Oryzias latipes: one gene and its partners. The protein of the gene in region 4 purifies or fractionates together with the protein of the main gene of each other region. This does not show direct contact. Links are inferred from orthologs where the notes say so. Each region holds a gene or a part of one and is shown on either strand. Other genes may lie near its edges.

Region 1 (3,948 bases), on a different chromosome or scaffold from region 4:
GGGGTCATCTAAGATAGCACAAGGGTTAAAAGCATCTCAAAAGTGAGAAGGGCGACATCTGCAGGCTGAGTTTTAGAACTGCATGTTAGTGGATGCTAATGGAAATGGCCTCATTTGTGTTCACTGCAACAACTGCTTTATAGCTGCTTTGTATTGAAAAAAATATTTTTATTTTAAAAGGATACAGATTGCAGAGAGACAAATGGTAAACAGGGAGTGCAGTTCTTTAAGAGGCTCCATATAGTTTTGGAAATTCACTTTTTAAAATGTACTCTAAGAGATAATCTGCTCTAGAATAACTGATTTAGGACAATATATAATTGCTGTTGCATTATGAAACCAGATTATTTCTTAATAGAGGGAGCCTTCTACACTTGGCTTTAGGTGAGTAATTATTGGTTGCTAAAAAAGATTTTTTCGGGACACACCACACCCCAGTGAAGCAGCATCAGAAGTCTGCACTCCACATCCTGGTGTTACTCAGTTTGCTAAAAGAACGGCTGGATTTCTCTACTTGATTTTTAGTCAAATAGTGCAATGTACCCATTTTAAGGATTAAATATTTCTAAACCCATCACAGCCATAACCTCAACGCTTAGCTAAAGCAATAATAAGGCTTTGCTTAAACGGGTCATGAGGGTCTTTTTGGTTTGCTGTATAAGGTATTGTTAACATTGTCTTGTAATAGCTGCTTCAATAGATTATTAATGCGTTACAGGAATGGGCTCAAGCCTGGATTTACTGTGAATTGCCCATTCAAACTAACCCTGCAGACAGGAATAGCATGAAAAAACCAGAGTGGTAGAACCTGTAGGGCAATCTACATGTAACAAATGAAGTTGCTGATGGATGCATGTGAAAAAGTGCATGTTTTGGGTTAGATTTGAGCCTTTTTGGGTTGAGTTAACAAAAATACAAATATGAGAAAGATCTCATTTGTTATACAGAGCTACCATAGGAATACATGAGTAAATTATTTAGGAAAAAAAGATAAAACATTTAGAAAGACATGAAAAATACTTACAAGCTGAATTTCCACTGCACTCTGAGGCCGTTGGTTTAACAGCTGCAGTTTTTCTGCCCTTAAAGAGAGAAAGATGGCAAAATTTTAACTTTGAGACATTTTTATCCCCAAACTATACATCATTTATTAAGCGGAAATTACAATTGAAGCCCCAGAGGGGTGAAAAATATTATCTTTTAGATACTGACTTGGTCAGCTTCTGAGGCATCATGGTGGTGAGGAACTCTCTGACAATTTCAGGACTCTGTCTGCTGCATGGCGTCTTTGACAAATACTTTAGAGTCTGAAAGCAAATGCAGGTGAGAACATGGACTGGATTTGACAACTAAAGCTCAGACAGTATGAATAGTACCCACTTCATACATGATGGTGTTGAGGTCCTGTTGCCCGAGGCTATGTTTGCTTTTTCCAGCATCTTTCCTCTGTTCTTTCAGGTCGGTGAGAAGTTTGAATACCTGAGACGAAGACATTATTTAGCTTTTCTGAATAATTAATTTCATTACCAGGCAGGAAAATCAACAAAAACCCTTAATAGACAGTCTTATAGTCTCACCTCATAGTTACTGAGCATGGCCGCGTTTGCATTTTTTCTGTGTAAAAAAACCCAAATAACAATTGTTAAACATTAAATTATGAGATAATTAAAATATCTGTTACCAAAACAAGCTTTATAAGATTGGAATATTTCCCATGTAGTTTATATATTTAGTAAACATTTTTCTTCTGTGATTTGATCTTCACATCCTTGTGTTACTAAAAGAACGGCTGGATTTCTCTACTTGATTTTTATTTATATAACGAAATTTTCTTAATCGGAACCTCAGATCTTCTCTTTAATGAACAGCAATAATTTTTTTTTGTGTTTTCCCTTTTTAAAAACTAGAAACCCATCAATTAGATTATTTTAAAGCCGTTGAAACTTACTGAAATAGATATTAGCAAATGTTTTTGTTTTTCAAGTTTGAAGAAGAAAAGAAATACAATTAAAAAAAGCAAACTTTTGATAAATATAAATAAATCTAATGAAAAACAAGACAGAATACTGTTTAAATTCAAACCTGTTTCCCATATTTCTTTGCTTCAATGTTATTTAGAAAAATTAAGTTTGTGATTTCAGGCAAATATGAATTAGATCAGAGCTCAAGTGACAAGTTGACAAATGTTGTGGAGTGCGGCTGAGTTGGCTTATATTAGATGACAAAATGTTTTTTAGCTGCTTCATCATGTCATAACTAATTCATTTATTATTGAAGAGCCAACGCAGAATGTGTTTGTAAATGGAATGTTTCATGATTTGAAACAAATATTTGATAACACAAACTCAAACTAATCCGACCCGTGCTTTTTGTTTCTCCCATCTTCTGAAATTTACGTTTATAAACGATTTCGCGACCTTTTGTCCCGTCTCTAACTTCGTCCCCAAACATAATACAATTTAAAACATTTGTAGACTGCAAACTCTTCAAAATGGATCAAAGTCTCCCGGACTCAATATGTTTTAATTCAGTTGTTTTGTGTGTCGATCATCATCTCTCCATTTTTTGGCCGACAGCATCATCCCAACGGAACAAGCAAAACATCACATAATAAACCCGAAACTGAAACACGCACGAAACTACCATCGATCACAATTAAAATTGTACATGTAAATATACATAAAAGACTTATTAGCCGTTGTTTTGTTCTTAAAAAAAAAATCTTACACTTCCATGTCGACTCTTAGGTTCCGTTACAATAAAGGGGTTCGTGTAGAAAATAGGGGAGTATATTGGTTCCGCCTAGCAAAAAACGCATTTTTACATAGAACGTGGGATCAGAGAAAACAGAATAAATATTTAAAAAAGTGAAACACTGCCGAGATGTTTGAAAATGAAAAACAATGTAAGAGTATCTCAAAAAGTGTAAATTCGAAAGCCCCTTCACCAAACAGTTCAATGAAATTAACAAGGACTTCCAGAGCCTCATGCAGCAGCATCAGGGAGAAGGTGAAGTACACCCTGAACACATCGAGGGTTATTTTAAACATATTAAACATTTAACATTTACTGTTAGGGTAAGGGAACAAAAAAGGAATACACTAGAAGTCACTTTTATCAGATTTTAATACAGTTTCATTAGTCATGATTTGAAGCACACAGTATTGAACACTTTTTGCTTTTTAAAAACAAAAACAGAAAAAGTACAATGAATTTTATGCTACTGCACTGAGTAATGAGTAATCTATATTTGAAAAAACAAATAAATCCCAAAACATAATAAAACAACCAAAAAAAGGAAACCTTTTGTTGGCATTTCTTTTCAAGAACTTGATACAGGAATGAGTCAAGACTGAAATGTAAGAATTGGACATCCATACAAGTAAAATATACAAGAGTGAACAGATTTTTTCCAGCATTATTTTTTCTCTGAACTGGAGAGTGATGGTTAAAAATGTTTCTGGGACAGAAAAATCACATAATTATATTAAACAGGTGCATGTGAATTGCTTGGAGCAACAATAAAGTAAACAATAAGTGCAGAAATTAAAGCTTTAACTTTTATTAAAGCTGAGTTTAAAGCTTTCGTTTAATTTTTGCTTTTCACTGCTGGAATTTCTTTGTTTTACTGCAGTCAAGCCCAGGATAACTATAAAATGAGATGATGAGACCTAAACAACCTCCATTGGGACAGGTTCCTCAGTTTGGCAGAAAAACTCAAGGAATGTTTGTACAACTTTGTCATCCACACAGCTCCTTGCAGCTTCTTTGAACCGTTGGTTATTTCTGCTCTCAACTATTTTTTTGACACCGTCTTTGACGGCGGTGCCTCGAGTGTAGCTGCAATCAAGATATTCTCTCAAAACGTCAAACTTTTTTCCCTCCACCATTTGGATAATAAAATCTTCCAAAATGAAATGCAGAGGTTGGGCATATTCAACAACAGCC
Region 2 (4,125 bases), on a different chromosome or scaffold from region 4:
TGAAACTTTAAAAATGGCAGTTCAGCTGCAGCAGCAAACTGCATATGCTAGTCCTGCTGGCCCCCCACCTCTCCTTTTCATCATCATCTCGGCCGGCCCCTGCTCAAAGATAGAATGGGACTGGATGATCTCTTGGCGACCTCGGCCCCTGCCTCTGTCTCTCGGCCCTCGACCACGTTCTCCACCTCTCCGATCTCTCCTTTGATCAGTCTCAACTTTGGCTCTGTTGCAACCAAAAATTTTTTTTTTAAAACAGTTAAAGCTTCAGTTTACACGAATTTTATTTGTTCTTCACTGCATTTTTCAATCCTAGAAATAAAATCAACTTACTCCTCTTTAACCTTTCGGCCAATGATGTTGGGTGTGAAGGTTTTCTATAAAATTAAAAAAAAGATAAATGAGTAATAAGAAAAGCTGTTTATTTTTGAAATCTAGAAAAAAAAAATCATGATTGCAAGTAGGGCAAAAGAAGCTACAGAAGGGTTTCTTAATATATCTGGTGTGATTAACTCATCTAACACAATTCCTAACCCAAAGATTAAATGGCGAGTGAGGTATGATGCTAACCTTCTTCACTCCTCCCAGGGTGAGGTCCCTTGACCGCATGGAAGGGAGGCGTCCAGGAGAGAGTCCAGCTGGTGGTCGACGCCCCATCTGGAGTCCTACATTGCTGCTGCTGGCGCCTGCAGGAGTGGGAACGCGTTGACTGCTGGACTCCCCGGAGTCCGCCATCCTGAACTTTAAAGGGATGTCAAACTCCCAACCTGGTGGCCAACAATAATACTCATCATCATCTCTCTCAGACAATGGTGATGTTTAAAAGGAAAATACACAAATATTACATAAAAATTGTTTTCAAATGTCTTTATGAGGAGGTTGCACACATTTTACTGCCAGGTGAAACACTACTCTGGATTCTGTTGGCGTGTGCCTTTAAAACAGTTACGTAATGTCCAGGGTGTGTGGCATCTTTCCAAATACAACTCTTTCCCAATCAGTCTGGTAGTGCACTTCCTATCCCCCTCCCCTCTGTTCTTACTACTTCCTGCACGGTCTTCCTGTCCTCTGTTGTGCCTTCAGACAGCGCGGCACTAGAACTGAACCCTCATTGTTGGCCTTATAAAACCTGACCAGCAGTTCCTGAAAGAAGAGGGCCTGCCTCAACTTCCTGAGAAAGTACTGTGTTCTGACCAGGTGATCTCAGCTGTGACGTTTATTTATGGCCCCTCATCCTCGTGTGTCGCCAATCATTGGATTTCAAAGTAAAGCTACAGGCTAGAAGTTCTTTTGTTTTGTTTTTTTGGCCCCTATGCCAAAATTTAAAAGAACCAGCTGTTATCTCGCAAAATAAGATCAACGCACTTGTTTTTGTAATACATCTTTGCAAGAAAATTAGCAATGCTCAACAGCACGTGACACTAAAATTAGCAAAAAGATAAAGAAAAGATTTTTAGTGTCTTATCATCGCTACAAAAGGGGATTTGCGTGTCCCTCCCTTCATGTCCACAAATTCTGTCACTTGAACTGCAGCAATATTTAAACTTAATTTCATCTTCAAAAAATACAAAAGCTCAAAAAACAATTGAAATTTGTAAATTTTTTGGACTACTGATATAAGTTTACTCTCGTATTTTCTCTTTTTATTATTATTTTTTTTTAACTTTATTTTATTTTTTTCTTTGTTTAGTTTTATTTTATTTATTTATTTTTATTTGTTATTGCCTTTTGTGATTGCTTCTAATAATTAAAATTTTCTTAATGTTGTAACACGTTTATTCTACTGTACATTATATGTGCATAATTGTTGCATTCTCTTGTTCTGTATGTTGCAATTGTCCAATTAAAAAAAAGAATTCTGTTATTTCCCTAAACAAACACATTGAGCATGCGCGTCTTACAGGGTATGTTTGATTTGTTGTGCGGGGACGCTCAATTCCTTCACAGTCAAGAGGGCATGTTTCTGTGCCAGCTGGAGGTTGGTTAGTTTGTAACAAGACCAGAAAATCGATCAATGATTTCTGCTGTTTTTCTGAACACTATTGTGATTATGGTCACATGTCTTTTCTAAATTAATTGTTTTTCCACACATTGCAATGGAATGATGCTTTGACATTTCTTTGCTAACATCACCATCACGTCGTTTTTACGCTATAGTTAAAAAACCAAGCATGTATCTGAATGGTACTTTCCAAGATCGATTATCAATTTAATATAATTTTGAAAGGATTTTATAATGGTACAGTTCGATTTGAATCCATTATCAACTTGTTTCAGCCACAAAATCTGTTTTGATGTGTCACTTTATTAATTAATCATTAGACCCCATACCTAAAATTAATGTTATTGAGGTTTACATTAATGTAATTTGTAATAATACCGGGATAAACAAAAATATACTTTCAGTCCGTTCTGTAACCTTTTTCTTTTTATCTTTTTTACTCTGTTGTGGTTCTGAACGTAAGCAATTCAAGACATTAATTAGGAATGATTTCTTAAACTTTCGAGTCTAAGCATTGAGAATAAATTGTGTTTACAATGATATTTGTCAGTGATTTAAATACACAACCAGTATTTACATACGATGAATGAAGAAAAATGTTACAGAAACACGTGGCTAGTAAGATAGATCACAAACAACGCGAAAGCTGTCCAGAGGAAGTCTTAACATATTGCAGTTCTCCAAAAACTTACACGACACGTCCTCGGTGGTCCTTATTCGGAGTTTTCCCCCCTAAAACCTGCCAGATATCAGAAACAAAATCCTGTTGCCTCGTCCACCGCTGCATTCACTAGCGGCGCCATGACACTTCCGCTTTGGCTTCAACTTGCTCTCGAGGATCAAACATGCGCAGAAAAACGCGCATGCTTAGAAACATTATTTTGTTTTATTTTTATGTTTTATTTCAGAATCCACAGTCCAAAAAAATTCACTGTCATAAAAAAGATAAGATTAGATAAACGATTATACTAGTCTTTCCAAATGTTTCCTAAAACAGCTAAATGAAAATTATATTTTGAGTTCTGACATATCGTGCATTAGTTTTCCTGCAAGTTTTGTCAGATTCATAAAAATCTTTTGCATGGATTAATGTTATTGAATGTTTTGAAATAAATGTCTCAGATGTGAAGAACCAAAAGATATGGCATATTTCGAGATTGGAAATTTTTTTTTTCTAAAGATGTTATTTTCCTCTGACATGCTAAGGGAACTGATTATATTACTACTACTACTAACAATAATAATAATAATAATAATAATAATAATAATAATAATAATAATAATAATAATAATAATAATAATAATAATAATAATAATAAATATTTCATTTGTTTGGGCACTTGTTTCCTTGGTTATTTTCTGTCTTACAGCAAAATAGTCTTATGCAACATTCACGCTTTTATATTTCTCGCCTTTCAGCATATTCCTTCTGGGGTCTCGACAGCGAATCAGCTTTCCCTGATTCTCACAGGTAGCTTTGCAGAGATTTTTGCGCCAGATGATCTTCCTGACACAACCCTGTATTTTATCCTAGCTGGGGACCGGCACAGGGGAACCTAGACTTGGGCCCCCTTGTGGCTGCATAGTTACGCAGTACAACAAAGGGTCTTGCCTAAGGGCCCACACTGCATCAAGTTCATTGTGGCCCCTGGGAAGCGGATCCTGGTTTCCCATGATCCAGTCCTACACAGAGCCAACTGAACTATCCATTTGCTACCTTATGCAAACAACTGCATGCAGTTAAATAAAACAGTAAGATTAAATATTTCCATGCAGTTAAACAGATTAAATCTAATATAAACTCTAAATGGAAACTCACATCTTTACATTTTTAAGGAATTAAAATAGAGTTTGTGATATAAGTAATGAATGTTCCTACTGTGTGATATAGTAATAATACAAATAATCTGTTAAAGGAAACATCCAATAGGCCTTCAGAGTGCAAAGAAAATATTTGTTTTTAATATGTGAAAAATATAAATAGATGCAGTTAAATAAATCAATTTGATCAAACAGGGAAAGTTTAGGTTACCTTTTTATGAGCTGCATGTCATTAGAGTATGGTTTAGTGTGAGAAAATATTAAAGGGGAATTCAAGATATAGAGTTTAGATGATGTTTGAAACT
Region 3 (4,234 bases), on a different chromosome or scaffold from region 4:
TTGTCATAGGTCATAATAGCCGGCCGGACAGGATACTGCACAAAAAACGAAAGATTAAACGATGAGTCAACACAACAAGCCAGAGGAGAGCTTTTTTTCAACTATCAAAGTTTAGAAAAAATACTATTTTATTAATCTGTTATTAAAGATAAATAATTAAAAGCTTAAGGAATAAATGACTAAAAAAGGAACATTTTGAAGAACAAATTTTAACAGAAACATTTCATTAAAATCAAGATAATTGAAATGGGTTTGGTGCAAGTTACACATTTTCAACAAAACATCTGAAAGGGCAGAAAAAATGCTTATTCATTATGTTTGTGGCTCTCAAAACAGAAAAAGAATAATAATTTTGAATTCAATTTTTCCTTTTTATGTGTATATTTATGTGACTAACACATTCAACTGACTTCCATTTAACAGTAAAAAAAATAAATAAAAAAATAAAAATAAAAAGCATTGACCATGAGGAAAGTAAAAGGTTTTAAGCAGAATATAAAAACAGGCACAATAATGAAGGAAATGCTTACCTGGAAAAGATAGAGCTTATCTGCGAGGCTTTTGGCGAGGTACACGTCAATCTACAGAAACACACAAATGAAAATCAGACTTTTCCACTCTGCACAAATGACTCTGAGCTTCAAGGTTTTCAACGTAATATTATATGAGTCTTAACTGCATTTCTATTCATGTAGTTATCTAAATAAAATGTCTTAAAACATAATAAATAAGAAAATTGTTAAACTAAACATTATTTGTTTAGCACTTTACATACATAACGTTGCTTCCTAAAGTGCATGAAACATAAGTACACAAAAAGTCAATTAAAAAATAGTTTTTTTGAAAACATATTAATAAACAATACCAAAAAGGTTTTTCTGCCTATGAATACATCTGCCTCTTAAACACAACAACTTCTCTTAAACAATGGCACAAAAGGCTTCCTTGGGCATTTTGTACAAACCACCTGCTAATCTACACACTAAAACTCCCACACCAAGTGTAAACTGAAGGAGACATTTCCAGTTGAAAACCCCAAAGCAGCGGCACTCCTTTTTGTACATATGGCTCAATATGCAATCCTGCAGATCAGGTTATAGGAAAAATGCTGCAAAACTCAGAGGCTCTTCTTTTTTGGGGGGGTTTCCCAAAGAAACTGATGACCCACACTCTGATGAAAATTGTTTTTTTTTTTTATGATGATGGAGGACATGTATGTGAAAATTAACCACTCTAATTAAAATGCGTTTGGAAAAACCAAACCACTTGCCTAATACTGTTAATGTTGTTTAATGTAAATATGTGACCGATTTCAGAGGCTGTCAGTAGTTTCCATTCTCTTTAGAGAAGGTCACAGTGTAAACACAGATGAATTGTTAGACAACAGCATGTTGGATTGTTTTTCAATCGACCGCAGACCACAGAAAAACGTCTTCAAATTAGCTTAAAACAAACACTAATACATGCTAGTTTAATGGGAACTACATTTACCCATAAACATGGTCATTTCCTTATTTTTGAGATCAATAAAGTTTAATTCATTCATTCAAATACATATTTCTCATGGCTCAAAGTTGCTGCATAGCAGTGATCAGAAGAGGATTGAAACTTTATTTAAATTCCAGACGTAAACATACCTCCTCTATAATTGGATCATCTTCATCTCCACTGGCCATATCTATAGGATCAGGGGAGCAGCAGTGATATATCAGAGGACTTCAACCTGGACAAAATAAATGCAAAGCAAGAATCCGTCATTGATTAACACTGCTTTTAATATGCTACAGCAGGTAATCCAAAAGAACAGAAAGGTTTAACAGAAGTCCTAGTAATCCAGATGTACATTATATTTGTAAAAAAAAAAAAAAGTGTTTCATTGGTAGTTAAACGTATAACAAGTTACATTTCTGTATCTATATGCGATCTAAACTAATCTGTGATGATGCAGCATGTCAGATGATGCTTTCACGGACCCATCACGGCGAAACTGATGTAATAGTACGCAACCATCCAAAAAATTGAAGTTTTTCACTTCCCTAAATACAAACGACGTCCAGCATCCTTGTCAATCTGTGATTTATGTTGGTTACACAATTTTCTGCAGGCCCACAGTTCAGAAAAGTCAGATAGTTCTTGCTTCGTTAGCTTCATTAGCCTAGCAAGCATCAGCTCTTTAAATTACTAGCCACAGGCCCCCACAACAGAGACACTCAAAATAACATTTCTTTACAAATACGCGCTTAAGTAGACAGAGACGAACGACACTTTTAACTGTGGAGTTTTCTGAAAATTCCAAAACTGAAGGTAGGCTGTAGCTAAGCTAACCAGAGTAATGTAGCTTAGCGTGCTAACACACACATCAGAGATTTATGATAAACAAGACAAAACATCAGATTTAGCACTTTGGACATGTGGCATCCCCATAGAAACAGCGTGAGGCCTCACCTGCTCACCCCCTGCAGTTTAAATATATAACACGTTCAAGAACAGTCCATGAGTGAACTACTAGACTTGAAGCAAACTACCGGGCTTGAGGTACCATGATGTTGACGCTGTTTCAACAGACACGTGGGGAGTTGGACGTGCTCGTGCAAATAATGCTATTCGGACCAAACTGCGGAACTGAGCACTGTCACGTGTCTTTATAACCTATTTACTTTAACTTACCTTTTATTCACTAATTCGTTCTGCATGTGTTTTCTTTAACTGTTAGATCAAGCGTTGAGGAAAAACAACGACGTACCAAAAAGAATTCTTGGCAGCGGTGGGATTCGAACCCACGCCCCCGAAGAGACTGGAGCCTTAATCCAGCGCCTTAGACCGCTCGGCCACGCTACCGTGATGCATTGCGAAGGAAAATGTGTCATCATAGTCCATAGGCAGCTGAACGCTGCCTATTCATGTTCAATTATAAATGCAACCACAAGGCTGCACGACGCATTACCTGTCCCATGTCCGGCTAAAGGACATGGGACATATATATATACGTGCCGTATATGTATATATGAATTGTGTATCACGAAACAACAAGAACCGAGACATTCGGAAAAGTTTTTTTTTTATTTGGAAATAGGTAAGTACCAATGAAGAGAAACCTTTTATACCTGGGTTACACTAAGACTGGTATAATTTACTTAAAGAATAAAGAATCAATAAATACTTCCTACATTTAACACAATTGAGTGTCAATCAGTTGTGTTAAATTTAAAACAACTCATTGTCACTCAACGTCACCCTAGTGGTATCCAGTCGAGATGCAACAATTCACTTTCTCCACGATTTTGTTCAGTTCAATGGTGAAACACACGGTTCAATTTTAAACAGGGAATTGTGAGATGGTTTGTAAATACAAAGGGTTGTGTCATGAAGGGCACCCAGTAAAACCAAAGTCAATACAGTCGTGCAAACTACAACAATAAATTTTATACTAATCGTGGCAAAGGTGTAACAACAACCACCAATGGTACAGTCATCCACAGGGTGCCAATGGAAATTGGACATGTATGAGAGGTGTGAGGCAGTGGTGAGATGGTCTTCCTTGTTTGTGTGGTGATGAACAGACTGACAGATGAAGTTAGACAGAAATCTCTGTGGACCATGATGTCTGCAAATGACATGCATTGAAAGCAGAAAGGAAGTGGAAGAACAACTAGAGAGGTGGGGGTTTGACGTGGAAAGGAGAGGACTGAAGGTCCGCTGCAGAAGATGGGGAGGATTTCCAGTCTAGAACAACAGATTGGTTGTAGAGGCATATGCAGACAGGTTGTAATGGGTGGAGGAAGGTTTAGGTATGATGTGAGACAAAAGAAAAATGTTAGCAAGAATGAAAGGAAAGGTGTAGAAGATGGTGAGAGAGCAGCCATGTTGTTGGTTTAAAGCAGAGGTCTGCAACCATCAACACTTAAAAAGCCATTTGACCTTTTATGTGTTGGAGTAGTAGGAGCCACAAAGTCTTTAGGAAAATTTGATATTTGCTTTGCATTCATTACTTTGTTATTTTTGTAATAAATATGAATTACCGGTATATTAATTTTTTGACTTGAAAAAGCACAAATACCCCTTGTGCTATCCTATGGGGTCAAGATGACCATTGACGTGTTCTCCCTACCATGACAAAGGTGGATAAAGGTGAAGAGGATTTCATGTAATCCATGGACACCAGTGAAGATCACAAATCATTGAAGAATCTTGTGGGGTCTAGATGACCCAACGCCCAATGTTAAAGTGCCTAGGA
Region 4 (4,150 bases):
AGGCTGACGTCACCTCCTGGAAGCAGAAGCTCCAGCGCCAACAGTAGGTGGGACGTCGGCCCCCCCTGGTGGTGAAGTATGGTACGGCCCGAAAGGATCAAACGTCAGACTGTTGGCTGCAGGTCGACACACGAGGTCACGTGACCGTCTGTTTATTGGAGCAGCAGGTGACACCAGGTTGGACTGCCTCTTCAGTCACACGCGTGCACGTGGCGTGCACGTGCAGCAGCTGCTCAGTAAATGGCCTCGTCCATGTTGTCGTCGCTGTCGCCGCCGAATTCCTCGCCGTTGTCGAAGTACGACATGATGTAGTCGGTTTCCTGCACAGAGGGTCCAGTTAGACCTGCAGAGCCTCCGTGGTTCTGACCCAGGCCTGCTGACCACGTACCTCCTCCAGTTCTTCCTCATCATACTCCTCCTCTGCCTCTGCTCCCTCCTCCTCCTCCGGCTTCTTCTTCACCCCTCCCTCCTCCTCCTCTGAGCTCTGCTCATGCTCCTCCTTCTTCTCCAGGGTCTGCAGACACTTCCATTAAAGCCATCATCATCATCATCATCATCATCATCAGAGGTTCTATAGAAACCCTTCACCTCCAGTTTGAGCAGCACCTCCTCTTCCTCCTTCTTCTTCTTCTTCTTCTGGACTGGCACAGAACTATCCATGGTGCTGAAGGCCAGACCTGAGGGAGACAGCAGCTGATGCTCACCCCCCTGAGTAATCTGATTACTGCTGATGAATACTGTTCAGACGAGTCAGTAAGGTACCCAGAGTACTGAGTAATGGGATTACTCGCCTTCTCTGACTCTCCTCCTGATGTGGACCTGCAGCTCTCTGGGGAATCGTCTCCAGTCTGAAATCCAGAGACGTGCAGACATGAAGGTTCTGATGGCGTTTTCATTGGATGTTACCGTGGTAACGGCGTCTCACCCAGGTTCCAGTCCGTGAGGCTGTTCGTCTGCTCGCTGCTGTGATATTTGTCCGAGTAGCGCTGAACATCTGCACAGGAAGAAAGCAGGACTTTCAAAATAAGACTGCGTGTGTGTGTGCGCGCGTGTGTGTGTGCACGTGTGTGACCTCGCTGTGCTGCTGCTGGCTTGATGAAGAATGGCAGATTCTTCATCACTCCTCTAAAATCCTGCTTCAGGGCCAATAGATACTCTGCTTCTTCTCCACCTGCCAGGGGGAGGGGCTTCTGCTCCATCACCTGGACACCAAATCCACCAACTTCAAATCCCAGAATTCAGTGCTTCAAAATCAGCGCATTACCCCAACTGTTGGTGTCAGAGCAGAAAAATGTCAGAGCTCCTCTTTCCTGCATCTGTTGTTTGTTACGGTTCACGTCGAGACGATAAATGTCTGCCTAACGTAGACGTCAGTGACATCCCATAATAACCCACAAGGTTCAGAATGACATGAACAGCTTTAACAAACAATGAAAACAACAACAGAGGGATTTCATTCAACCAAAAAGAATAACACTTAAATATAAATGAGGGGTTTTCCTGGTGTGGGCGGGGCTTACAGGAAACACAGGCGTGGGCTGCTGAAGTCCTGGGGGGAGACCTTCTCCCCTGCTGATGCTCGAGTCCGTGCCGAAAGGCCTACGGCCCCGCCCTCGTCCCGCCATGGCTGGTCCCCCTCAGACAAAACCGGACCGAGCCAGAACCGCCCTAAAGACACAACAGGACCCCACTGTAAATCAGGATACGTCCACGGGGTAAGCCCCGCCCCTGTCACACAGCCCAATGACCACTCCCCCTTTTCAGGTCAGAGGGAAGCGCATCAAGGCCTTTCAGGTGTGTTTGATCGTTTTCGGTTGTTCCTTCCATCCCCTCAGAACCTGATGTCATGTAGCGTCTGTTCCAGCAGGTGGCAGTATACAGGCATTTCCAGAGGAAAAAACGGGAATAAACCAGTGACTGCATGTGGGAACTGGACCGAGTGGCCCCGCCCCCTAGCGTTCCAAACAGGAAAATCCCGTAGACATCTACAAACGGCTGTTCCTCAGTCGTTCTATGGGTCAGAGGAACCGCTCTGGATCTGATTCTTTAGAACCTCTTCCTGATAATCCTCATTTTTCATTTCATTTCTGTAGTTCAAGGTATAAACTGACCAATCAGACGCCTCAATGAAAGTGGGTGGAGCCTGCTGACCCTAACCCCAAGTTTGACTGATTTCTGTAACCTGCTTTCAAGTGGGTGTGGCCTTTCAACAAGCTCACTCCTGGTTGGTCAGTGTGGTTGCTATAGAAACGATGACTCAGACCAACTCGGACCAATCACTGGCGGCGGCGTTAAAACGGCGACTGAATTCTGCATTGACTAGATATGGACTAGGAATCGGATCCGTCTCGACAGGGAACCATTCCAGCCCTGATGACGTATGTGATGATGTCACTGACGACACTGCAGCATGTGGGGCCTAAGAACCCACGTTTGAACCCCTGCTTCCTGATGACGTCACGCCTCTCTGGTCGCTGTGGTTCTGAGCTGCTTTCAGAGAAACGAGGAAAATGTTTTGGTTTTTGATTCAGGGGCTTCGGCTGACGTCATCAGCCTCATCGATCAGGCTGATCGTGAAGCTCCATCAGAACCCTGCGGGCTCCCTTCTGACCTGGGCTCGCGCTCGGTCGGGTATGACTCCTCTGACCTGTTCCCGCTTTTCCGTTACGGCTGCAGCTTAGTGCGCGCTCCCGCGGCGCGCTCCATGTTCGGTTCAGACTTTCACAAACTCCACCACGAACGGTTGTTTACCGTCCCCGGACCTCGCTTTACAGGCGCCCCGCCTACTACCCACCGGAAATGTCCTACGGCAGTTTGCGCGCGCTTGCATTCTGCGTTGGGCCGCGCGTTTCTGCCCCCTATCGGACAGGAGGACAGAAATCCAGCTACATTTATGGTCGATAGCAGTGGCGGTTCTACCCTGAATTACTCCCCGCGCGAGACCCCCCCGCCCCCCCCCCCATAGAGTCACTCTGTCCATGTCAACTGACATGTTTTATTGGAGCAGAAGTAGCAGCAGAACAGCAGCAGCAGAACAGCAGCAGCATGCTACCATCACAGCTCATTTAACATTTATGAACTAAGTTTACAACAGCCTTTGGCTGTGTGTGGGGCCATAACCATAACCATAACCATAACCATAGCTGGATCGCAGGCAGTGTTTGGCCGCTCATGCGACTCCTGTGGAGAGTCCTCCTGAGCTGGGGGGCAGGTGCCGCTGTTTCTTTTGTTTCCCATCGTTTGTTTGCATTTCTGCTCTATCCAACCCGCTGACCCCTTGGTGCACCGTTGTCCAGGAGCGGTGCCACGGCCGGGATTTCCGGGGATCGTGTGTGCTCTGTACACCGTTTCAGCGAGTGCCGTCCATCCACGCACTGGGGAGCGGCGTGATGAAGCCGGATCGAGAGCTATCGGAGCGGGTTCCCCCTTCCGGCCTTCTGTGGCCCCGGGCACAACCAGAGCCCAGTGTCCCACCACCCTGGACTGGCGTCGGTTACTGCCACTGTACGCAAGGGGCGTGGCATTGAGCCTGTTGTGCCGCAACAGAGCGCACGGCTGGGTGCAGCTGACTGTGTGGGCTGGGCATGATGGCCCTTGTGGTTTGGTTAACTCTTTTGGGTGTCTTTCAGAATAGGAATTTTAATACTATTTGTAATAAAGGGTGTCTATTTTCTTAAAAGCACAGTCTTGGTTTCCTGTCGGAGAGTCCTGTGCTCTTCATTTTAAGTCTTCTACTGGAGGCATCCAAGGGGAAACCATACTGCCACAGGAATCTTGGTGCTGTGAGCAGAAATTGACGTCAGCGCCAGTTTTGGCCTGTGCTGACTTCACACTACCCTTTATTCTGGAAGTAGATGCCAGCCACAATGGCCTTGGTGCAGTTTTGTCCCAGGAGCAGGGTGGCAGTGTGCGGCCATTGCCATGCCAGTAGGGGGCTAAAAGCTACAGAGCGTAACATGCAGAACTGCAGCTCTATGAAGCTGGAGTTCTTGGCTCTTAAATGGGCCATGATGATTATGAGATAAAGTATCGTTCTGGCAGAATGTGGACGCCCTGTCACGACATCCCAATCGTAGTTCAGCAGGGGTCGGCGACATGGCACCCGGTACTTCACAAAGAAATGACCGAAAGAAAGATGGCCGACAGGCTT

Evidence for each region.
Region 1: the proteins of polr3gl (region 4) and crcp purify together in Homo sapiens (co-immunoprecipitation; 3 studies listed by BioGRID and IntAct, counting the BioPlex papers as one, with this or other methods). This does not show direct contact. The link is inferred for Oryzias latipes from reciprocal best matches to the Homo sapiens genes POLR3GL and CRCP.
Region 2: the proteins of polr3gl (region 4) and polr3d purify together in Homo sapiens (co-immunoprecipitation; 4 studies listed by BioGRID and IntAct, counting the BioPlex papers as one, with this or other methods). This does not show direct contact. The link is inferred for Oryzias latipes from reciprocal best matches to the Homo sapiens genes POLR3GL and POLR3D.
Region 3: the proteins of polr3gl (region 4) and polr3e purify together in Homo sapiens (co-immunoprecipitation; 5 studies listed by BioGRID and IntAct, counting the BioPlex papers as one, with this or other methods). This does not show direct contact. The link is inferred for Oryzias latipes from reciprocal best matches to the Homo sapiens genes POLR3GL and POLR3E.

Annotation. Positions count from the first base shown.
Region 1 is NC_019872.2:8,449,019-8,452,966, forward strand, and holds the start of crcp (DNA-directed RNA polymerase III subunit RPC9), read right to left. Parts: upstream 2,812-3,948; 5' UTR 2,736-2,811; coding exon 2,728-2,735; intron 1,615-2,727; coding exon 1,578-1,614; intron 1,480-1,577; coding exon 1,381-1,479; intron 1,308-1,380; coding exon 1,213-1,307; intron 1,083-1,212; coding exon 1,025-1,082; intron 1-1,024. Other genes in the region: protein FAM111A, read right to left, coding at 3,672-3,948. UniProt on the Homo sapiens protein: DNA-dependent RNA polymerase catalyzes the transcription of DNA into RNA using the four ribonucleoside triphosphates as substrates.
Region 2 is NC_019867.2:17,411,586-17,415,710, forward strand, and holds the start of polr3d (DNA-directed RNA polymerase III subunit RPC4), read right to left. Parts: upstream 2,812-4,125; 5' UTR 2,692-2,811; intron 765-2,691; 5' UTR 733-764; coding exon 568-732; intron 375-567; coding exon 331-374; intron 224-330; coding exon 69-223; intron 1-68. UniProt on the Homo sapiens protein: DNA-dependent RNA polymerase catalyzes the transcription of DNA into RNA using the four ribonucleoside triphosphates as substrates.
Region 3 is NC_019877.2:13,142,966-13,147,199, forward strand, and holds the start of polr3e (DNA-directed RNA polymerase III subunit RPC5), read right to left. Parts: upstream 2,812-4,234; 5' UTR 2,744-2,811; exon of another isoform or gene 2,668-2,743; intron 2,612-2,667; exon of another isoform or gene 2,446-2,611; intron 1,724-2,445; 5' UTR 1,677-1,723; coding exon 1,638-1,676; intron 582-1,637; coding exon 531-581; intron 36-530; coding exon 1-35. UniProt on the Homo sapiens protein: DNA-dependent RNA polymerase catalyzes the transcription of DNA into RNA using the four ribonucleoside triphosphates as substrates.
Region 4 is NC_019874.2:32,576,087-32,580,236, forward strand, and holds the start of polr3gl (DNA-directed RNA polymerase III subunit RPC7-like), read right to left. Parts: upstream 2,807-4,150; 5' UTR 2,648-2,806; exon of another isoform or gene 2,612-2,647; intron 1,669-2,611; 5' UTR 1,626-1,668; coding exon 1,521-1,625; intron 1,270-1,520; exon of another isoform or gene 1,203-1,269; coding exon 1,073-1,202; intron 995-1,072; coding exon 926-994; intron 849-925; coding exon 792-848; intron 678-791; coding exon 589-677; intron 524-588; coding exon 389-523; intron 321-388; coding exon 234-320; 3' UTR 1-233. UniProt on the Homo sapiens protein: DNA-dependent RNA polymerase catalyzes the transcription of DNA into RNA using the four ribonucleoside triphosphates as substrates. Specific peripheric component of RNA polymerase III which synthesizes small RNAs, such as 5S rRNA and tRNAs.